3 linked regions of the Mytilus edulis genome follow. The protein of the gene in region 3 interacts with the protein of the main gene of each other region in a biochemical or structural test. Links are inferred from orthologs where the notes say so. Each region holds a gene or a part of one and is shown on either strand. Other genes may lie near its edges. The genes, in order: E3 ubiquitin-protein ligase AMFR-like, ubiquitin-like modifier-activating enzyme 1 and probable ubiquitin-conjugating enzyme E2 7.

Region 1 (8,077 bases), on a different chromosome or scaffold from region 3:
ACTTATTCAACTCCTTTGGAGGTGTGCCTTCATTGGCAGAATTTATATTGATACAGAATACAGATGCTTATATCATTCTCTACATGTATGTTTAATTACATCTACAATTATAATATCTTTTAAGAAACACTCTTCTTTAGAAATACTTCGATAGTCCTTTACACTGATAGTAAAATTATGTACTTAAATATGTTGAATCATTTTTGTCGAGCCTTCGACTTTAGTCGAAAAAGCGAGACTAAGCAATCCTACATTCCATCGTCGTCGTCAGCGGCGTCCACAAATATTCATTCTGTGGTTAAAGTTTTTGAAATTTTAATAACTTTCTTAAACTAATACTATACTGGATTTCTACCAAACTTGGACAGAAGCTTGTTTATGATCATAAGATATAGTATCCAGATGTAAATTTTGTAAAAATAAAATTCCATTTTTTCCTTATTTAACTTATAAATGGACTTAGTTTTTTCTGCTGGGAAACATTACATTCACTCTGTGGTTAAAGTTTTTAAAGTTTTAATAACTTTCTTAAACTATCCTTGGTTTGTACCAAACTTGGACAGAAGCTTGTTTATGATCATAAGATAGGAACCAGAAGTAAATTTTGTAAAAAAACAAATCCATTTTTTCCGTATTTTACTTTTAAATGGACTTAGTTTTTCTGCGGGGAAACATTACATTCACTCTGTGGTTAAAGTTTTTAAAATTTTAATAACTTTCTTAAACTATCCTGGGTTTGTACCAAACTTGGACAGAAGCTTATTTATGATCATAAGATAGTATCCAGAAGTAAATTTTGTAAAAAGATAACTCCATTTTTTTCTGTATTTTACTTTTAAATGAACTTAGATTTTCTTCCAGTTAACATTACATACAGTCTGCAGTTAAAGTTTTTAAAACATTTATTAGATTCATTAACTATCCTAAATTTTTACCAAACTTGGACAGAATTTTTTTTACCAAACTTGGACAGAAGCTTCTTACAATCAAAAGATAGTATCAAGAGGAATATTTTTATTGATTTTTTTCCTCATTTTTGTTGAGCCTGCGATTTACAGCAAAAGTAGGCGAGACACTGGGTTCCGCGGAACCCTTACAAATTTTTTCATGTTTATCTTTAAAATCATTATCATGACTTTTATTCTTTGATTTTCACATTAAATCTTTGAATGAGAAAATCAAAAGAATTCATTTTATATGATAAATAACATACATGTATACAATTCATTAGTTTGATTCAAGCATGAACCTAGATGTACAAAGTACAAGACAATGTAAACATGGTAAACATGATTTAAGCATGTAATTCTTCAACATTTATGTATTCACAAGACAGACAATAACAGATCCTTCTGCTTGTTTGCAACTATTTAAATAGACTTACTTCAATTATTATAAGAAATTTTAATTATGTAATCCTTATCAGTCAAAATATACAAAACAATACATGTATGTAAACATTACCTGCTTTTCTACAACTCTTAACTCTCCAAATACAGCTTTTTGAATCAACTTGGCAAGCAGAATAAGACAGCAATATGCTGTGTTAACAACAGTCTGAAAAATAAATATGTATCACTTACAACGACTTATAGGAAATGTTAAAATAAATTCAAATATCAGAACCTAAACACATTCATGCATGTACACAGTTAATCAAAAGTTAGAATACTTATACAGTATATATAAGAAATTAAAAAAATCATCATGCCATATGTCTTAAAAACTTTTATAGTTGAAGTTATCGTAAATATTTTGATCATTGTTGAAGACTATACAGTGAGTGACATATAAAGAGTATATATATATCTGTGTCCTCTTAGTTGTCTCATTGACTATCATTTTTTTATATGTAACAAATGGAAAGAGAATTAAATTGGTTACTTATCACTGAGTCTGTACTTAAAAATGCACCACAACAGGTGCCTTATATGGAGCAGGATCTGTTTATTTACCCTTCAGGAGAACCTGCAGAGATCTCACTGGTTTTAGGTTGAGGTTTAGGTTGCTACGTTTTTATTTTTTCTATGCTATGCTAATATATGCATATAAATACATTGTATTCTACTATGCAAATCAAGGGAAATTTTTTTTTTTAACAAACTGTACCAAACTCTGTTCAAATAATAATCAGGAACAATAGACCCTGGGCGAACAGGTACTCAGGCAAACATGAATCAAGGCAAACATGAATCAAGACAAATATGAATCAGGGCAAACGTGAATCAGGACAAAACATGAATCAGGGGGAACAGACAGGGATTCAAAGTGAACCTACCCAAATCCAAACGTGAATCAGGACGAACATGAATCATGGTGAACTGACAGGGAGTCAGGGATTCAAAGTGAAACCTGAACCAGGACGAACATGAATCTGGGTGAACAGACAGGATTTCAAAGTGAAACCTCAATCATGACGACCATGAATCTATGTTAACAGACAGGGATCCAAAGTGTACCTACCCAAATGCACCATATTTCTGAAGTTAGAACATAGACTACATTCCACCAAAAACTCTCATATGGCAGCTGAATGTCAAATTCACTTGGTAATGGTTCCTTTACTACATCTGGATCATTCAATATGTCACTGATTTCTTTTGAATTACCGATGTTAACATTATGTTCGATTCCGGCTCCGTTTAGATCAGAATTATGTGGGTTTGTTTGGAAAGCAAGAACACATTGATAGGCATAAAACACAGCACATGACAACAATACAACAGAGAGACTAGTGTATGTACGAAGACTAGGCAGCGGTATCCGTTCTAGAAGTATCACAGGCATTGTGGTTTATTTGTGTTTTAGAAAAGATAACAAATCATTATTGTGTGGCGATCTGTCAAATATTGTGTCACACTCGACTTGAAATTTTGTGTATTATGGCGGCATTGTAATCGTTTCTTTCATAAAACATACCAAAATAGAGATTTTTGTTTGTTTTAATTCAATAAATCGACGAATAAAATATAAATAAGTAAAGAAGATACCCTTTGTTTGAAAAAGTTTTCCCCAAAAATAATAGAATAAAAATCTTAAGAAATCGAGCGCACCTGTTGCATGAATCGCCACTGTTTCGTAGAAAATCACTCCCTTAACAAAAAAACAAATTACATTGTTAAATTTTCAAAGCGGTTATGAAAATCTTTCATGTTAAGAGTTTAAAAGTTTTAATCAACAAATTATACATGCGAAACTATCATTTTCGATTGGCTATAAAGTTGTGATTACGCAACGTTTTGTTTTGACTGTCACCGGCTACTGGAAGCAGTTATCAGCTTATACATTGATTCACATAGAATGAGGGCTTTAATAGGTGATGCATTATTCTTGAGAATAAGGGAGATGGTTAATATGTATCAATGATACATCAAAAGAAGAACTAGAGGCTCTAAAGAGCCTGTGTCGCTCACCTTGGTCTATGTGAATATTAAAGGAAGCAGATGGATTCATGACAAAATTGTGTTTTGGTGATGGTGATGTGTTTGTACATCTTACTTTACTGAACATTCTTGCTGCTTAAAATTATCTCTATCTATAATGAACTTGGCCCATTAGTTTCAGTGGAAAATGTTAGTAAAAATTTACAAATTTTATGAAAATTGTTAAAAATTGACTATAAAGAACAATAACTCCTAAGGGGGTCAATTGACCATTTCGGTCATGTTGACTTATTTGTAAATCTTACTTTGCTGAACATTATTGTTGTTTACAGTTTATCTCTATCAATAATAATATTCAAGATAATGACCAAAAACAGCAAAATTTCCTTAAAACTAACAATCCAGGGTCAGCAACCCAACAACGGGTTGTCCGATTCATCTAAAAATTGCAGAGCAGATAAATGTTGACCTGATAAACAATTTTACTCCATGTCAGATTTGCTCTAAATGCTTTGGGTTTTGAGTTATAAGCCAAAAACTGCATTTTACCCCATGTTCTATTTTTAGCCATGGCGGCCATCTTGGTTGGATGGCCGGGTCACCGGACACATTTTTCAAACTACTAACCCAAAAGATGATTGTGGCCAAGTTTGGATTAATTTGGCCCAGTAGTTTCAGAGGAGAAGATTTTTGTAAAAGATTACTAAGATTTACGAAAAATGGTTAAAAATTGACTATAAAGGGCAATAACTCCTAAAGGGGTCAACTGACCATTTCAGTCATGTTGACTTATTTGTAAATCTTACTTTGGTGAACATTATTGCTGTTTATAGTTTATCTCTATCTATAATAATATTCAAGATAATAACCAAAAAGAGCAAAATTTCCTTAAAATTACTAATTCAGGGCCAGCAACCCAACAACGGGTTGTCCGATTCATCTGAAAATTTCAGGGCAGATAGATCTTGAACTGATAAACAATTTTACCCCCATGTCAGATTTGCTCTAAATGCTTTGGGTTTTGAGTTATAAGCCAAAAACTGCATTTTACCCCATGTTCTATTTTTAGCCATGGCGGCCATCTTGGTTTGATGGCCGGGTCACCGGACACATTTTTCAAACTACTAACCTAAAAGATGATTGTGGCCAAGTTTGGATTAATTTGGCCCAGTAGTTTCAGAGAAGATTTTTGTAAAATATTACTAAGATTTACGAAAAATGGTTAAAAATTGACTATAAAGGGCAATAACTCCTAAAGGGGTCAACTGACCATTTCAGTCATGTTGACTTATTTGTAAATCTTACTTTGCTGAACATTATTGCTGTTTACTGTTTATCTCTATCTATAATAATATTCAAGATAATAACCAAAAACAGCAAAATTTCCTTAAAATTACTAATTCAGGGGCAGCAACCCAACAACGGGTTATCCGATTCATCTGAAAATTTCAGGGCAGATAGATCTTCACCTGTTTAACAATTCTACCCCATGTCAGATTTGCTCTAAATGCTTTGGTTTTTGAGTTATAAGCCAAAAACTGCATTTTACCCCTATGTTCTATTTTTAGCCATGGCGGCCATCTTGGGTGGTTGGCCGGGTCACCGGACACATTTTTTAAACTAGATACCCCAATGATGATTGTGGCCAAGTTTGGTTTAATTTGGCCCAGTAGTTTCAGAGGAGAAGATTTTTGTAAAAGTTAACGACGACGACGGACGACGACGGACGCCGGACGACGCCGGACGCCAAGTGATGAGAAAAGCTCACTTGGCCTTTTAGGCCAGGTGAGCTAACAAAAACAACCAAATGACTTTTATAAAAAAATATAGAGGACAAGATATTTTAGCTGTTTATATATAAATTATATCCTTGTTTTTAAAATTGCAATAGGGAACATACATTTTATAATTGTATAAATAGATAAACCAAAGCCGAAACATCTTGAAAAATTGGTTTATTTATACAATTATAAATTATATGTTGCATAAGAGAGGGGGGATAGGAGGGGTCTTGATCCCGAAATCCCGGACTTGAAAAAACGAAATCCCGAGGTCCCGAATTTAATTAAAGCAAATCCCGACATCCCGAAATCCTAAAAAAAGGATTCCCAGATCCCGAAAGGGTCAATCCCGAAATCCAGAGCTTAAAAACACCCGATCCCGGAGTCCTGATAAAGGTCCTATCCCCCCTCATCTATGAGAATATGAAATGCCCTTAAATTTATCGTCAGGCGTGGAATGGTCATTTTCGGCTAGCTTCCAATTGATTAAAATTTTACCATAATTCATCAAAATATCCTTATCATGATTCGTCAGAGATCTATAACATGTCCAAGCAATTATTGTTACCGTCATTTCTGGATAAAATTTAATGTGATTCATCAAAATCTGTTGATTGTTTTTTTTAGAATAAAAGAAAGTGTACATCATTTACATTTTATCATCAAATATTACTGTTCACGTCATTTGGCAAGAATTTTTATTGTTTTTCGTCAGGAGTGTAACACAATGTTAGTACCCTCATCTACACTATCTGAAACAATGAAGTCTAATTTTTTAGCTGGCATGATGTTAAAACAACTTATCAAAGAATTCAACTTTATATATAACCAATATTGCACAATGGTGTTGATCAAAATTACATTATTCCAGGTCCCTTTGTTTTTGGTTGAAATCCTACACAGATACCAATAATAGACAATGATAGATGTCACATGTAACTTGCTACCTTATCTGTATGTTCTGCCATTGTCAGGCGCATCATCAAGCAGTGTGTTTGGGATTTGCCATTTACACAATGTACATGTATAGGGGTCTTAATCTCACCTGAACTTTGTCATTATAATGGGTCTCATTGGGGTCTAAGCCTGACGCGGGATTGCCATTTTTTTGTAAGCGTGACACGTGAAAGTCAAATTATTGTGTCGTGAAAACGGGAAATGACAAAAAAAAATGAAAATTGCTTACGTACATAGTGTAAGCGGGAAACTGGAATCTGACAAAACAGTAAGCGGGATCTGGGATCGGAACCCCCCAATGAGACCCCCATTATACTGAGGTATTGACACTTCTTAATTGAATCATTGACCAAAAAATATATCTACAAATATCCAGTTGTAGTAGGAAAACCATTTGAAAAATATGAGACAATTCAATAAAGAAAACTTAATGGCCTAATTTAAAATAAATAATTTGCAAAATTGTCCATTTTTCAATGTTTTAACGATTTTTAAAAACAAGGTCAATGACACGACAAAGATTTAACTGCCGTAATTTAGTTTGAACAAAATTTATTTTGATATAATTCAACATCTGTTAACATGGTTAACAAGTTTGTAAAAAACAATTAACATTTAATTTATATGTCTATTTTAGGTGGAGGTACTGGTTTTGTGGGCCGTCATTTAACTAAAGCTTTACAAGAGAAGGGTTATAAAGTAACAAAAGTGTCCAGAAAGACAGGACCAGATACTATTACTTGGGTAAAGAACAAGCTTTATTAGTTGTGGTTAACATATATTCAATGAAAGGTTCCAAATTTTAATTAATTACTCTACATTTATATTTGCCTGATTCTATCTATCCTCCATGGCCATTGTGCAATGAGCAAAACAGTACAAACCATAAACATGACAAAGCAACCATGAGTAACCGTAAATTTCAACATGAAGCTATACAACACTTTATGACTGATCTTCTAATGGTATATGCAAATTTTACACATGTTAACAGAAGTTCTATATATACTGGTACTTTGTTTTAACTATTAATGTGTATTTGTTAATAATCCTGGGATACCAATTTTCATTGACTTCATGGGGAATGAAAAAAAACACAATTTAGAGGGGGGATAGGAGGGGTCTTGATCCCGAAATCCCGGACTTGAAAAAACGAAATCCCGAGGTCCCGAATTTAAATAAAGCAAATCCCAACATCCCGAAATCCGAAAAAAAGAATTCCCAGATTCCGAAAGGGTCAATCCCGAAATCCCGAGCTTAAAAACACACGATCCCGGAGTCCATATAAAGGTCCTATCCCCCCTCAATTTAAACACTCCATGAAATACAACTTTTAAGTTGCTTTGGAAGGAGCTAATGCTAACACCACAAATACTCTAGAAATTACTTCTTCAATTGATACCAATGAAAATAAATGAACCCACAGTACCTGATATCTGATCATGAATATTAAATATTGTATTTTTTTAGAAAGATATAAATAAAAATGGAATACCAGATGATGTTACAGCTGTAGTGAATTTAGCTGGAGCTAATATACTTAATCCTCTCAAAAGGTAAGATCTCATACCTTGTACAATTGCCTTAACATTGCTTAAGGTGGTACCAAACTCCTTGACTAAAATTGATTTGGCTCATTTAATTTTCATAAAATTTTGACAAAATACTTTGACCCTTTGACAAAAATATTAAAATTTCAAACTTGAACCACACACACTATCAGAAAAATTTCATTGGATTCATCACAAAGTTTTGCTATTGTACATTCCAAGTTGGCAGTATACAGTGAATCTACCTAAAGAGATAGTAATGTATCTAGTTTCTCAGATGTGGAAAGCTCAATCATTTATTTTATTCTGTTATATATAAATATTTCCCTCACTTTAACACAATTTTCCAAACTGATTCCTCTATATACGGTAATCACCTTTTTAATGTCTTTCAAAGAAGGATAAA
Region 2 (8,068 bases), on a different chromosome or scaffold from region 3:
GAGGAAAAGCACCAGACTTCTTCAAAAAACGGTTCTTTTCAGAGCCACACACATTTTTCAAAAAGAATCTGAATTTGTTGTCATTAGTTTAGTTTATCTATAGTTCTGTTTCCATATATTATAACTGCAGCCCTTTTCCTTCCCGACTGAAAAAAAAAACAACAAAAAAAACAACAAAAATACCAAAAAAAAAAAGAGGCTTAAATCCATAACTTTTCTATAAAAAAATGAATGCGTACACCTTATCTTGAAGTGCAACAGGCTATTTTATAAGAAATTGCGTACACCTTATTTTTGTAGCAGGCTTCAAATTTCGAACGTGTTTTTTGGGGGTTAATTTTCAAGTTTGAAAAATAAATAAATCAATGAACTTGGCATAAAATAATGATGAAAGTAATGTTTCGAACAAAATCCCCTCTCTCAGAAAAGACTTAACTATTTTCGATATCTAACAAATTAACGCAATAAAATCCTTCATAAATTTACAATGAAGGAAAGAAGGGGGAAAAAAACAAAGTAGAGACGGCAGAAAAGAAGAGAGAAAAAAACGTGTTTCTTTGTGTATCGTTTTTCTTGCAATAATTCATTCCGTTTATTTTTCATTAATTTTTCAAATGAAATAATTTTTTAGTTGAAATAAAAATAATTGCAATACACGAACTATATTTATTAAATTATAAGATGATTTAATCAACTTCATGATTGGATTACAATAAATCATGATTAATAGACAAAGATGTTTGACAATACACACAAGCCCACGACACGAGACTGTTTTGACAATGGACTCGTGCCTAAACTAGAAACTCAAATTAATTACTCTATGATGTCATTACCCTGACGTTTCTCAATTTCAGGTGTCACTAGAAGAGCTATATAACCAATCCTTTCCAAAGAATCATCAGAACTTGTTTCAACTCTTATAGTGCTAACAACTACTACATATTCTTTATTAATCATGAAAGCTAAAGTACAAATGAGAAACCTCAACAAGAGGACCAAATTGGTTGAGAGCGAACGTCGATTCAAGAGAGCCTGTGAACAGATTGTCCAATTGAACTACTCTTTAGACGCACTTCAAAAGAGGTACAACAGAGCCAAGACTGACAACAACAAGTCTTTCAGATACTCGCTACGTCTACGCATAGCAGTTGTTGATGGAATGCGCAACATGTACTACGACTACGCTCACCAGAAAGCAGAATCCGTAGCCGAACTGAGACAAGAACTGTTTGGTGAAGTTGTCGACATTATTTCAGAAGATTCTTCAGCAGACATTGAGATGTATGACTAGAGGAAAAGCACCAGACTTCTTCAAAAAACGGTTCTTTTCAGAGCCACACACATTTTTCAAAAAGAATCTGAATTTGTTGTCATTAGTTTAGTTTATCTATAGTTCTGTTTCCATATATTATAACTGCAGCCCTTTTCCTTCCCGACTGAAAAAAAAAACAACAAAAAAAACAACAAAAATACCAAAAAAAAAAAGAGGCTTAAATCCATAACTTTTCTATAAAAAAATGAATGCGTACACCTTATCTTGAAGTGCAACAGGCTATTTTATAAGAAATTGCGTACACCTTATTTTTGTAGCAGGCTTCAAATTTCGAACGTGTTTTTTGGGGGTTAATTTTCAAGTTTGAAAAATAAATAAATCAATGAACTTGGCATAAAATAATGATGAAAGTAATGTTTCGAACAAAATCCCCTTTTATTAGCTCATAAGACTAGCAGTTATTTGTGGAATGATTGGATGATCTCCCTTTGTTTAAGACGCCATGGACAAGCACCGGGAGATTTTAGAATATAAAGTACCAAATGTTGGCCAAATTGCCGGCAATGCTATTTTTAGCAATTATGTCCTCAAATGGCTCTTTGAATAAACTTTTTATGGAAAAACATCTGTTGTCTTATTGGAGGTCGATATCTACTTGTGATTTAATTGAAATTAAATATATATATGATCCCATGGTGATTTGTTTTTTTACGATACCTTACGATTTCGCAAAAAATTTTCCTTAATTTGGAACAGCATAAAAAAACATTTCTGGCCCTGATCATATACATTTGAGGTCAATTTTGAGCTTGCATGAAACTTTCTTCAAAATGCTTTTCAGAAGAAAAATATATAAATGATGTAACAACCAATCACAGAAAGCCATCTATTTTTATCTCTATGTCATGTTCCCTTCACAAATGGCTGCGCCCATGTAATTTTATTTATGACATTGTTACCATAAATGGGATACGATTTTTTTCATAAGTTTAAGCTTTTCAAAAAGATTACTTTAACATTAGCGAATATGTAGTTTATAGGAATTGATATTTTATAACGCAGGCACTATATAGTAGCCAATAAATATAGTATTACTCTTTTAGCTTTACATTAAAAAAAAAGTTGTACACCTAGATACATGACAGCGATGATAATACTTAAACCATCAGAATACAGGGCCGTAACTAGGGTTCGAATTCAGGGGAGGCAGGGATTTGGGGGCCGCCGATTGAGGCCCCCTAGATCCGCCGATTTTTTTTTCTCTCTCAGTTAAAATGGCTAAAAATTACCCGTTTTCCTTCGATTTCCTTACTTTAAGAAACATCAGTATTGCTGGATCCTTGAAGCAATTTTATGCAAACAATTATTATCTGTATTTAAAGATATTTTTGTAAGAAATCAAACTGGTAAGTTAAAAAAACATATAAAGCAAGATCATAGAACGCAAGATATTTTTTTTTTATCGAGAACCTTGAATTTCAATATTGTTGAAAGCTGGACAGACATGTATAAACTACAACCAGGGACTTTCTATACTAGTATATACTTAGTATAGAAAGTCCCTGCTACAACGAATGGGAGTGTTAACTAAGTAACTAAGGCATTGACCATAATGTTCTAGTATGATCGGGAGATGTTAAAAAAATTATCCAACAGCTGATTCAGCCGGTAACGAATTTCCGATATCATTAAAGAATCACAATACAAAGTGAATTTCCTCTGCTTAATTGAGCCCCTAAATAAATGTGAATAGTAAGGTTTTATTCAAAATTGTCGAAAGCAAAATTTCATATGTGTTCTCGTACGAATACTGAATAACAGACGGACGGCCACACGAAAAAATAAAAATAAAACATACTGAAACGGTTCACAATCAATCAAAAATCCAGACAATGACAGATATAATTATCATGAATCATGATAACACTGTTAAAACTGTAAACTTGTGTTGTTTATGATATAAATTCAAGTTTTTCTTGTACATATTGTCAATATTTCATTTTATTACTTTAAAAAAAAAATGGTGCAGAAAATTCAGGGGAGGCAGTTGCCTCATAGGTAGTTACGGCCCTGGAATAAGAACATATATGCTACGCCAGTGAATTGAATGTGGTTTATCATGTGCAGACCCAATCATCTTGGTTTAGTTTATAACTACGTAGGCATTGACTTTCGATAAAATGAAATATCTATATATAATTTTACCAACACTGCGTTGATATGTAGTCTCAAACACCGCACTGCTCCTGTTGAGTGAACTTTCCGATATAGAAACGACAAGGACACGGACGTGTGCGTATGATAACAATAAAAAAAAATTAGATAATTTAATTACAGAGAAGGTTATCCGTTCAGATATTTTTACTCTATTTTAATTACAATTTTAAGAAAAGGTGGTCTAGATTTTTGTATATGTATTTGCGGTCTTCTCGATGAATTAACACTCAATGTTAGCATCCGTTTAAATTCGCCTAATAACTTGACTTAACTTCAGCATAGCAATCAGTTCAGCGACTCTTGTTTTGGTACTTTTGGCCAAATTGCTCTGATTTAGTCCAACAGAGGTATACAACCAGCAATAAAGACATGAAGAATTGAAAGAAGTCAGAGACATATAATATAATACAAATGTCTCTGATAAAGTTAATTTGGTATTCCCAGATTTATTCGCATATCGGCATATAGTATACCAACATTTTGAACCAATTTTACACAAAGCTCATTATAAAGTTGATTGATTGTTGGTTGCCTGTAAAGGGGAGTAGTATGTATCAATTTAAAGTATATATTTTTAAAATAAGACAAAAAGTCCTTCAATATACTAAAATTCTAGACTAAAGCAAATTGATTATTTACAAATAAAAATCAACAGTAAGATAACGTTATAAAAATTAAAAACGACTTAAATATAATAACATTTTTATATTCTATAATAAATTCCAATTTCTTTGAAAAATGCAACAATATTTGTAAATGGAACATTATTAAATAAATCATACATATTATTGACATTGAAATGCTTCTTACGAATATCAGTATAGTCAATACAATTAATTAAAACATGTTTAATAGTATACTTGCAGTTGCAAGATACACATTGTGGTTCATCTTCATTTTTTAAAAGATACTCGTGTGTTATTCTAGTATGACCAATACGACATCTAGAAATAACACACTGATCTTTTCTGCACATAAAATTATTAAAAGGTTTGCCTAAATTAGCTTTAATTTCATGTTATTTATTATCATCTTTTTTACTCCATTCATTTTTCAAAATATTAAAAACATATTCTCTAATATTAGATTTAAAATCAGTATATGGTATATCACAGTTAGATAAAGGGTCACCCAGGGCATGCTTTGCCTCATTTTAAAGTCTACTGTCCTTGTTTTTTTTCTGTTTTAGTAAAGCAAATGATAATATTAATATGGAAATTTTATTTTAATCTAAATCTATTTTTATTGTACTTATCTATTAAAACAAGTAGATTTATAATTATTATAATTAGGTTTTTGTGAATCTTGCTAAATTACATAAAATTAAAATGATCAGTTTTATTTTTGAAAAAGTTATCCCGTCGCAATTATGAAATCATTGCAATAACCTGTGGTCGATTTTGATGAAAATTTTGAAAAGTTGAAACTGTTTGAGAAGCAAAAACCTTGAATTATGTTATTCGAGGTGTTGACTGAGGGTGTTGACACGTGTAGGTCCTTGTTTTACTTTCGTTTTCTCCTTTGGCCTCAAATTTGCATATTTCCCAGAATTCCCGGGGAGTGACATAGAAACAGGAAGTACTTTGTATGTCAGAAATATTATTGGAAATCACCGTAATCGTTGACTCATTTCTTTTGATAGTGTCTTTGTTCGAGACTTTTCGATAGCAATTTTCATATTGTTATTTATTTAAGATCCAACATAGAAGACTTATAATTCATCGGGTAGAAGAAAATCTGTCAAATATCATCGAAACTGAAGAAAGCCGCTCATGCAAGTCGGATGTTCATGTTGTGAACCCACTTGTTGGTTTGTTCATATATTATTATTTAATCTCGTTTATAGAATGATCTTCATACTGTTTTATTGTACATAGTTGTAACATTTTTTTTCTTTCTGGAATCATGTCATTTTAAAATTATGAAACTTGGCCTGTCAAAAAATTTATTTTGGGTGTTAACTGAGGTAAAGGCCCGAGTGATCGTTCTTCCGCACGTGTAGGCTTCCGTAACCTCCGCCATTTTTGTGGCGCTGAAACTCGTCTGCAACTTCAAAATCATCTTAGTTCCTTTAGATTTCCTTTAAATTTAGATTTAGACAGGTATTTCAGTTACAGCAAAGACCAAATTGTATTAAAAATCTTTGATTTATGCTTGAAATTACTCTGCAGTTGTATTTTCTTTGTGTTTTACCAGATGTCCAGTTGCACGGATTCTGAGGGTCCTCCTGCCAAGAAACAGAGACAAAATAACACAGAAAATAATAGTGAAAATTCCGCTTCAAACTCTGTAAAAGAAGTGAGTATATTTCAAAAGACGAAAAATAGCTTTCCGTTAAATATGCATGGATCAATAATTTCCTGAAAGTGAGCGAGATTTTTTTATATTTTACTTTCAGAGAAGCTTTTAAAATTAGTATAGACTGTCATTTGGAGTCAGTCATGTATTAGTTAAGAAATTGATGAGGACACAAATAGTTTTCTATATAACTTTTTAATTGTGTGAAATATTGCACCAAATCATGCAGGATTGATGATTGTATCAGTTTTGAAAGTGTATCAAAATATGGTGGGCTAAAGTAAAAAAGAAAGGATCCTTCCATATGAGCCCCACAACGATCTTACAGGTATCTTACAGGTAGAGACCACTTTTAAAAAACACTATCATTGTATCAAGTTGATAGTGATCATTAAAAGGGTTGACAGCTAGTTTCTACATAGGATTTTATGCATGTGCACAGAATACTAAAAATTATTATAATGTTTTAAGCTAGTGTACCCTCGTGTCGAATGTACCATGCATACATTTTTGTAATAGCATCATGAGCTCCATACACCAATTTTGAGTTCAGCAACATCAAAAGTTTTACTCTGACTTGCATGAACCTCATTTTTGAAGTTGTTAACTTATTGTCAGTATTTACCATATACATGATATAAAAACAATCTCTTAGTCTGAAACTAAAAATTGGAAGACAGTTCATTCAGTTGCAAACACACTTGATTTTGGTGAATTTTACTTGATTGAATTGATAGCCTACAAACATTTGAAGATGGAGCCTTTGTTTTTCAGTGCATTGCAATTGGCGAATCCAAATTGGGGAAGAGGGGTGTTCCCTTGAATGGAACTCCACTCCCCTTTTACCATTTTTTTTTTTTAAAATATGAACATTTCAAATGTTTCATGATGTTGCAGGAGTTAAAACTCCCTGGCAAAATGTTGGGATCTGTTCCTGCAGTGCAACATGTAGAATATAGAACACTTTTAACTTTGCATGTCCTTTACAGCTCATTGATTAGGCCAAAACAAAGTTACTTGTTTCCTGCCTACTTCAGAAAAAATAGTAGTAGATAGGTACATGTAAAAATTAAATTTTTAGTCCCCTACCGAAGAAGAAGTAGAATGTAATGATTGAATCTTATTTTTGTTGATAGGGATTTACAATGGGATCAAAGCCAGTAAAGGTACTTTTGCCCTTTATATCACTGCAGCACTGTCATGACTGGGTGGCAAAATGGAAAAAAAATAAAACTTTTATCTTTGTTTTCTGTTTTCTTCAAAATCTTATTTTGAACATGCTGAATTTTCATTTTGTACCCATCCAGCTTCTGTATTTAGTGTGCTTCTTTGGTGCTTTTCCTCATGAGAACCGTATTATGAAAACAACAAAGAATCTTAACATTTCCAGCTACTAGTCTGAATCAGAAATTCCAACATTTTCACTAAATAAGTAAACATAATTTCGTTAAATGATCACTAGCCTGAGTCAATTTATACAAGAGTTGGCCATGGTGCTTGGTTAAAGGCACAGACTGTCTGTTGTTATCCTAGAATAAATGGCTAGGACATATGTTGTTACTCATTTCAATAACCTTTTCATCACTTACTAAAAATTGTCTTGATATTTTTCTCTCTGCCTACATCATGTACAGATAATGGTCTGATCTATGTCCTAATTGGAATAAATAGGGATACTAATACAACAGGGGTGTAAACTATTTGTGTAAAGATTTATCAGTCAGAAAATGGATGAACGGGATGATTCATACATTATGTACAGATGCCTTATGCAGTGTTTAAGCTAGGATTTTGAGGGCTTTAGTCACTTTTGCGCGCTATTAAAATCAACCTTATTTCGTGTAAAAGCAATGGACGAATGATGTATATTACTAGCTTCATCTTTTGACTTAGTCAGATTTTTAAGGGATTGAGGCACCAGCAGGATTGGCAGTTATTGTATGATTTGACTGTATTGGCCATTATTATGAAAGATTCTGACATGGAATCCAGAAATTTAGTTCACAATTTCTCTTCAGTTTGTTCCAGGGGGTCATTCCTCAACAAAAGTTGGATTCTATTTTTTTTAAACAAGGAATCACAGCAAAAATTAATTTGCAATGATTATTTCACTGCATAATCATTATCCTTATAAAACGTCTCGGCCAATAATTTAAAATCATTTCTATCAAGTTGGAAATGTATAAAATCCTTTTTGGAACGATTATCATGACTGAAAGGAGGTTGTAAACAAATCAACAATTGATCACGTTTACTACTTTCGGTTTTAAAAATGAA
Region 3 (7,874 bases):
GTCAACAGCTTGTGGCCAATTCAGTTTTTTGTACATATTAACAATATCAATGATATATATCATATAAAAGAGATGAGGAAATAAATTTAAAACACTGTTTATATATATGTTAAGAGTGCAATGACCTCAGTTCAATTGATTGTTTTTGACATGTCAATTTTTTACTTTTGTTTGATACTTCAAATTTGCAAACATCCACCATGTTTGTACAGTGTACATTTAGAAACTATGTGATTAAAATAACAAATAACAACTGACCAGTGTTCTCCCCAGGGCCTTTCAGCATCATCGTAATGTGATGCTATATTTCTGAATGTGATGCTATCTGAATTGAATCATTTTATTTTCTTATACATTGTTTATGGATGTGATGCTATAATTTATTTTTCAAAAGATGGTATTTCAAATTTCCTTGTTTACCAGGATGCTAAATATATGAAATATCTGGGAAGACCACTGCTGACGCTAAACAAAAATAGATACAAGGGAAATACAGAAGAATTTCCAGGTTAATAATTAAACTAAAATTGAACTGTTAAGTTCAAAACTATGATCATAGATTTCAAACATTCAATATAACATGTATAATAGCTAAATGTTTTCAGTAATTGTATGTCTAACTTTTGGTTAAAATGTTAAAGATTTCCTGCTACTATCTGATTTTATTGAAAGAATTATTAATTTAAAGTGATTTTAAGTCTTTACAAATTTTATCAGAGGTGGATACATTTTTAAGCCGTTTTCACGATAAACTTTTAAATCTACAGGTTATGTACAATGTAAGAGCTCAATATTTGAAATTTTTTATTAGATTCTGTTAGACAGTAGAGATGAGTTTTACAGACCCTAAAGGAATTTTACAAGCTTGGGCTGCTGGGCCTGTGGTTAAACCTGAGTTTTCTTAATGACATTTAACTTTTGGTATATAAATTTCACATAATTTTCAATCCCTTTGAATGTCAGATTTTTAACTGGTATTTCAATTCTGTTTCAATTAAGATTTAGGTATGTCTTTCATTGTATTAACTTATTCAATTATTTGCTTTAAAAGAATTTTTCATACTTCAAAGAATTTAGGACTGTCAAAACATTTGCTAAAAATAAATGGGGAAGGTGTACCATGGATGATGCCCCATGATGAATATCATATAAAGGGACATAATTAGTGAAGAAGGGTAAGAGTGATGCTACCCAAATTTGTACTTGATCTAATTTTTGTTGTCATATATAAGTATTGTGTATGAGCTTCTTAACATATGAATGAGGCAAACTTTAGTTGGACTGTAAGAGAAGGGAAACAAACAAAAATAAGCAATTTTTCCCTTCGTAAAGGTGCACAACTCTAGAATCGTTAAAGTGACACCACCAAAAATTCAATTTTGATCTGTATTTTGTGGTAAAAAGCATAAGCATTGTGTATAAGTTTCATAATATTTAGTGGAGGCAATTAAAGTTAGAGCATGGAAACCAACTTTGGGACGTACATGTATGAACATACTGTTGGAAAAGGGTAAAAACTTAAAATACAAAATGTACCCTCTGCTACATAAAAACTGCAAGCATTCATCTGACACACTTAAAAACAGTCCAGTTGAAATATCAAGTTCAACATCTGTTATTTGTCAAATTAACCTATCTTGAGTGCTACTGCACACTCAGAAATGTCTCGCCTGTTTTACTTTAACTGAGTTCATGTTGAAAGTCTGTAATATGAAAGTTTACTACTTGTAGCTATCACATAAACTCAACATTATCAATGTTCTATGAAAATGAGGTCATGATCAGATAAACCATGCTAGACAGACGTATACACCTTACAATTGTTCCATACTCTAAATCATGAAAATAAAAAAAATGCACGTCACCTGTCTCAATTATCACTTCTCCAGAGGGGGTCTCATTGGGGGGTTCCGATCCCGGATCCCGCTTACTGTTTTGTCAGATTCCTGTATCCCGCTTACACTATGTACGTAAGCAATTCTCATTTTTTGGTCATTTCCCGGGTCCCGCAAGACCTCATTTCCCGCCACAATAATTTGACTTTCACGTGTCACGCTTTAAAAAAATCAGCAATCCCGCGTCACGCTTAGACCCCAATGAGACCCACTCCAGACTGTTGACATGTATGAGGTGTACCTGAAGTCTCCCCATCATGAAAATCACAACATCAGGGCATTTTCAAGAACTGGCAAGATCTGATCCTGTGCCTAAATAAATACTCAAAGTACCGTGAGAAAATTACATGTACCAGAAGCAATATGGTCTACCATGAATGATGAAGAAAGGAAAAGAGTTACATGTACATGTACAAGTTGTATCAATTTTGAACTTAGGATCGGGATCAGGACAATGATTTTTACGGTTAGTTTGGCTGCAAAAGGGTTCTCTTCTCAGGGCTCATCATAACCAGTTGTCGAATTATACAAACAAAGGAGTGACCTACCATGCCATCAATATTGACAACAAGTCCTAAAAAGGGCCCTCAGAGCAATCTGGGAGTAGGCAGCGACCTCCTACACTAGGGAAAAACTTTTTACCATATGACCACAGAAAAAATATATCTGATTGTGAGTACACTTCTCAATCAGTTCAACATAAGACCAACTTTGATCATTTGTTGATAAATAGTTTCTTATTTGATGAAGAAATTTTACAGTTGGGACCATGCGTGTCATTTGTACATGTGGCGATTGAAAATTTCCACACAGAATATTTTAGAGAATTTAACAACGTGTATAAATATTTAAACATTGTCATTTTTAATAAACAAATCTTATTATTAATGAACGTGTCGAGATGATTCATATGCGCAGACGTTTTCGTTTCTGTTCAACAAGAGACGGAAAAGGATGATGCCACTTCAATTTTGGGACAAATTCAAAGACTATGTTCTCCCTATTTTGTATTCCTCACCACGTAGCTGCCTTTGTAAAAGGAGCGCTGACTGGTCAACAGCCATGGGAGAAATATTTCCACGGCTTTTCCACTCCAACGGATATTTTTATTCTCGGCCTCTGGAAGTGAAAAATGCGCAGGTGCAATCGTTTGTTCACAGCTGAGCGACAGGGGAGATAACTGTAAGTTTTCGCGGACTTTTTAATTTTTATTTTCAGTGCGCAATCAACTTTTTTTTAATATACTCTTTGGTACAATCGAAATTAACTCGGTGTTGAATAAAATACACCAAGGCTTTGTATAGTGATACTTTACAAATCCTTGGATACATTACCTCACATTTATTGGCTAATAAGAAAATGTAAAAAAAAAATAGAGCCACCAAACTAATTACAGTACCATGTACTTACAATATCAGAAATAAAAATCCTATAAAAAAAGAGACTCCCCTTGCATTTTATCCATTATTATTACCGGTATATATATTATCATTTTGTATAGAAGACTCAACTTGTGTTTCATCCATTGTCATTTTGGTAAACGGACAGAAAGTCACAGGACAAAAAGTCACAGGACATAAAGTCACAAATTTCGCAGGACAAAAAGTCACAGGACAAAAAGTCACAAATAATTAGTTGACAATTGTTTGAATATGTAAGAGAAATAACTTGAAATATTTACTTTTTATACATATATTCATATTAAAATTTAGGAAATGTGTCATTATACTTGAAAAATAAAGATTTATTTAATTTTACCAGTGCAAAAGAAAGATTTCTTGGCACTATGAAGCCATTTAAGTGCCAAGCCACTTTGACATTTCGTTTTTTTAACAATTATTTAATTATCTTTGATATTTGTTTGATAAATTTTATTTACAAAGTTGGTTTATGTACAATAGTTCAAGAAAAATGCAAAAATATTTTTGTAGAAATACGCGTTTTTTATTCAAAGAAAATAATCAGAAAAAATGGACTGTGACTTTTTGTCCTGTGACTTTATGTCCGTGACTTTTTGTCTGTGACTTTCTGTCCTACATTCGTCATTTTGTATAGAAGACTCAACTTGCGTTTCATCCTTTAATATTTTGTTTAGAAGACTCAACCTGTGTCTCATCCTTTATTATTTTGTATAAAATACTTACGTTGTGTCTCATCCATACCTGCATCCATACTAAAATAAATGTATAATTGAAAACCTGTAGTAACGTGAAACTAAAATTAACATTATACTCGCCGTGGACTTCATAAGTATGGTTTCACTTGTGTCCAATCCATAATTTTACGAGTAAATAAAATACGTTTTAACTAAAGAGTATTATCGTCAGCTTAATTAAAAAGGGCTCCATGTTCAATAAAATAAGATATGTCATTCATTGAAGTATTAAATAATGTAGGTCCTATGATTGAGACTTTTAAAATGTACCCCGTCTTGCTGTCTGCCCAACTGCTGAGTATTCATTGAAAATCTCCACCTCAAATGTAACAAGGATATAGGATGACCTTGCGGTTACAAAATATCTTGAGAATAACGCAAGTCTTTGTCAATTAAAAATGATGGCGTCTAAATATTTTCATTCGATTAAGTTCAAATCTATACCATGTATACGAAAAACTGATGTAAAAAAGTATGAGCAATCATACATTTAGATATGCAGCAAATATGAATAAGAAGATGTGATATGAGTGCCAATGAAACAACTATCCATCCCGTTGAAGGTAGGATGTGTAAAAAGTAAACAATTCATGATAGGTCAAAGCACGGTCTTCAACTCTGAGCCTTGGGCTCTCACCGAACAGTTAGCTATAAAGGGTCCCGAAATGACTATATATCAAACAATTCAAATAGAAAAACCAACGGTCTGAATACACAGCTACTTTTGCATAGGTACTATTTCTGTACCAAAAATCTGTAGTACTGGAAATCTACTTTTAATATTCAGTACTATTTTGTTACTTTAAAGTTATTGTAATATTTAGGTACCTGTATTTTACAGTACTTGATTTGTACTTGAAATTTAAGTACTACAGATTTTTTGTTGCATGGTTAACATTTTCAGCATTTTGAAAGTTTGTCTTCCCCAAATCTCATAAAGTTACGATGTTCAAACATGGAATACTGTGATCATTGTTTGTATTATTTTTGTACCAATATTTTAAGTACAAATCAAGTACTGGAAAATACAAGTACCTAAATATTACAATAATTCTCAAGTAAAGAAATAGTACCGTAAATATTAAAAGTAAATTTCCAGTACTACAGATTTTAAGTACAGAAATAGTATAAAAATAGTACCTATGCAAAAGTAGCTGTGTAGTCTATGCTAAATAAAAAAAGAAACGGGGAAACACTAATGAGCCATACCAACAAACGACACTAAATCTCCATGGATTTCCAATTAAATAATTTTCAGATCTTTTTTGAATTGCCTTATACATATGTAATGTTACACAATGAACTTGAAATGAGCAAATACAAAATCTCGTTAAAGGAAATGAGATAAGAAATTAAATGTTAAAGCATTTACACAATAGACTCTGACAACGGATTACAAAGCACTTGTAATTAGTATGTAAATGTACAGATTAAAATGATTAAAATTGTACGAAAACAGAGCACTTGTTTGAATAATGAATTACAATAAAAAAATCAATGAATGGAAAAGTTACTATAATTTGACACCAAAAATAAATGGAAAATTATCTTGCATGGTTACTCATTCTCTAAATAATAGCACATGAGCTTCTTTTGACAGTAAGAGGATTTTATGCAAATAGATGTATATATATCCTGATCTTGGTATTAAAAAAGACAATTAGAAACTCAGTCAAGTTTACGCAGGGAGCATATGTACATTCCTAGAAAAGAAACGATATTAGTTTTATTTTGAAATATAGATATATACTACCAGAAAAACACTGAGTGGAAACATAAACAAAATACTCAAATACAATATATTGGAACTGTAAACGGTGTCATTGTACAAGGAAAATATGCAAAATAAGAAAACACTGACTGAGTGGAAACATAAACAAAATACTCAAATACAATATTGGAACTGTAAACGGTGTCATTGTACAAGGAAAATATGCGAATCTCTATAATGTAATGGAAACTGCACCACACGGCAAAAAGGATATATAGGTATGTAGTTGCTTTAATATATATATTTTATGTGTATTTGAATGTTTTAAGGACGCCAAACAAGTATAGTAGCCGGTGTTTTATATGAAACAATAGGAAAAAATATATACCATTACAAATTTGATTAATTCTTCACCGTCAACTTTCCTGCAGCAATGGTACATGTGAAAGACGTAAATTGCGTCAGCATATTTTGCTGTTAAAAATGTGTTCTAGGTATAGTCCAACTACTGTATTACTAGCCTGTCAACACCGAGGTGGTGTGCTCGAACCCTGCAAGTGGCACGACTGCGCTCTACTCCAATATCTTAATTGACATGGATTCTCATTTTTTTTTTTATGAAGGTCGGCGATGATTTCCGGGCACTCATGCTTCCACCACCAATAAAAACTGGCCGACACGATCAGGGGGTTCCAACCAAGGATAAAAGGTTCCAAATATAGGTCAAAAGCATTGATTTTCAACAAAAAGGGGGTTATAACCCCCACCCACCCTGATTCCGCCACTTAAGATATAGACAGTAGTGTTTAAAGTGGCGCTTCGCTGTACAGATGCCCTACTTATGAACGCTATATATATTTTTAATGCATAGACATATTCTTGGAGGATGATCTACTTACCCTTCCTACCACCTGAGACCAAGTCTTAAGATTTCTATGTTGCGTTTCATATATTATTGTCTTTTTGGTCTTTTTTCTTATTTTGTTATGGCGTTGGCAGTATATTGTGCCGATGTCTATTTGTTATTTTTGATATCCCTTTTGGTATATTTCGCCGCTCTTTTAATCCCATTCAAACAATCAAATTTGGACCATCATGGATCACAGAAAGAAATACATGAGCAAAACATGCTTAACTCAACTAGTTTCTTATGATGTGCCTGCCCAAAGAGGTTTTTAAAGAATACCAAGATATTAATATATAGTGACTAAAGCCTATAACATATTGTTTTGTTGTTGTTTTTTTAATTGCTGTTTGTCACTACATATTATTTTTTTATTTTTGTAGAATAAGACTGTCTGGTTTGTTTTTTGTTTATTGTTTCACATTTTTAACCCCGGGGCTTAACAATCATAACTTATATATCATACGGTTTGTGTTTTGCTTATTGTGAAAAGCCGCACGGCAATGGAAAATATCTGTATAATTGATGACATCTTTCTCTCGTTTTGCGTTTTCTTGTCACATATCTTATTCATAATATGAAAATAAGGAGATGTTGATGGATTGCTACTACAGAAAACATCCATTAAATATCGAGAAGAATGATGCGATCATTTACTGATTACTTTCGTGCGGCTTTCCTTATAGTATGCGCATATCTTCTTATCGTTCGCCCGTATACTTGAATACCAGTCTCCGCAACATTTATAATGGTCTTCTGTAGGGCATCCACTGGTCCATATAGTTTCTCCTTAAGTGTTGTTGGCGAATGTCTCCTTGGGTGTTGTTGGCGAATGCCATATCTTATCAATCTCAGACATCTCACTGCCTGATGGATCTTATTAGTCTTTTCAGTGTTGCACAAGTTCAAACAGGTACAGAAACACTGGTTAATCATATGCATGCCGCATAACCCTGGGAAACTCACTCGCAGAATTTTTATTTCTTTTACGAAAAGATGATATTTTAGCCAAGAATGTTGAATCGATATATTTTTAATATGTATGATATATAGTTCTTTTTAACTTTATGCCTAGTAACTTTTTGTAAATTCTTTCTTGTGAAATTGTACAAGCGTTTAGGAAATCATTTTTCGAAATTTAAATTACGGCAAATTCATGAAGTATGGAATAATGTCCCTTTATCGAATGTTCCTTTGTGTTTATATTAT

Evidence for each region.
Region 1: the proteins of probable ubiquitin-conjugating enzyme E2 7 (region 3) and E3 ubiquitin-protein ligase AMFR-like form a complex in vitro, tested with the Homo sapiens proteins (7 studies listed by BioGRID, with this or other methods). The link is inferred for Mytilus edulis from reciprocal best matches to the Homo sapiens genes UBE2G1 and AMFR.
Region 2: of the proteins of probable ubiquitin-conjugating enzyme E2 7 (region 3) and ubiquitin-like modifier-activating enzyme 1, one has a biochemical effect on the other in vitro, tested with the Homo sapiens proteins (3 studies listed by BioGRID, with this or other methods). The link is inferred for Mytilus edulis from reciprocal best matches to the Homo sapiens genes UBE2G1 and UBA1.

What each region holds. Positions count from the first base shown.
Region 1 is NC_092348.1:64,430,693-64,438,769, reverse strand, and holds the start of E3 ubiquitin-protein ligase AMFR-like, read right to left. Parts: upstream 3,016-8,077; 5' UTR 2,788-3,015; coding exon 2,464-2,787; intron 1,558-2,463; coding exon 1,465-1,557; intron 1-1,464. Other genes in the region: epimerase family protein SDR39U1-like, read left to right, coding at 3,301-3,316, 6,759-6,865, 7,592-7,677. UniProt on the Homo sapiens protein: E3 ubiquitin-protein ligase that mediates the polyubiquitination of lysine and cysteine residues on target proteins, such as CD3D, CYP3A4, CFTR, INSIG1, SOAT2/ACAT2 and APOB for proteasomal degradation.
Region 2 is NC_092344.1:46,511,879-46,519,946, forward strand, and holds the start of ubiquitin-like modifier-activating enzyme 1, read left to right. Parts: upstream 1-5,039; 5' UTR 5,040-5,303; intron 5,304-5,470; exon of another isoform or gene 5,471-5,595; intron 5,596-5,689; coding exon 5,690-5,791; intron 5,792-6,927; coding exon 6,928-6,957; intron 6,958-8,068. UniProt on the Homo sapiens protein: Catalyzes the first step in ubiquitin conjugation to mark cellular proteins for degradation through the ubiquitin-proteasome system.
Region 3 is NC_092349.1:6,893,571-6,901,444, reverse strand, and holds the start of probable ubiquitin-conjugating enzyme E2 7, read right to left. Parts: upstream 3,066-7,874; 5' UTR 2,960-3,065; coding exon 2,914-2,959; intron 1-2,913. UniProt on the Homo sapiens protein: Accepts ubiquitin from the E1 complex and catalyzes its covalent attachment to other proteins. In vitro catalyzes 'Lys-48'-, as well as 'Lys-63'-linked polyubiquitination. May be involved in degradation of muscle-specific proteins.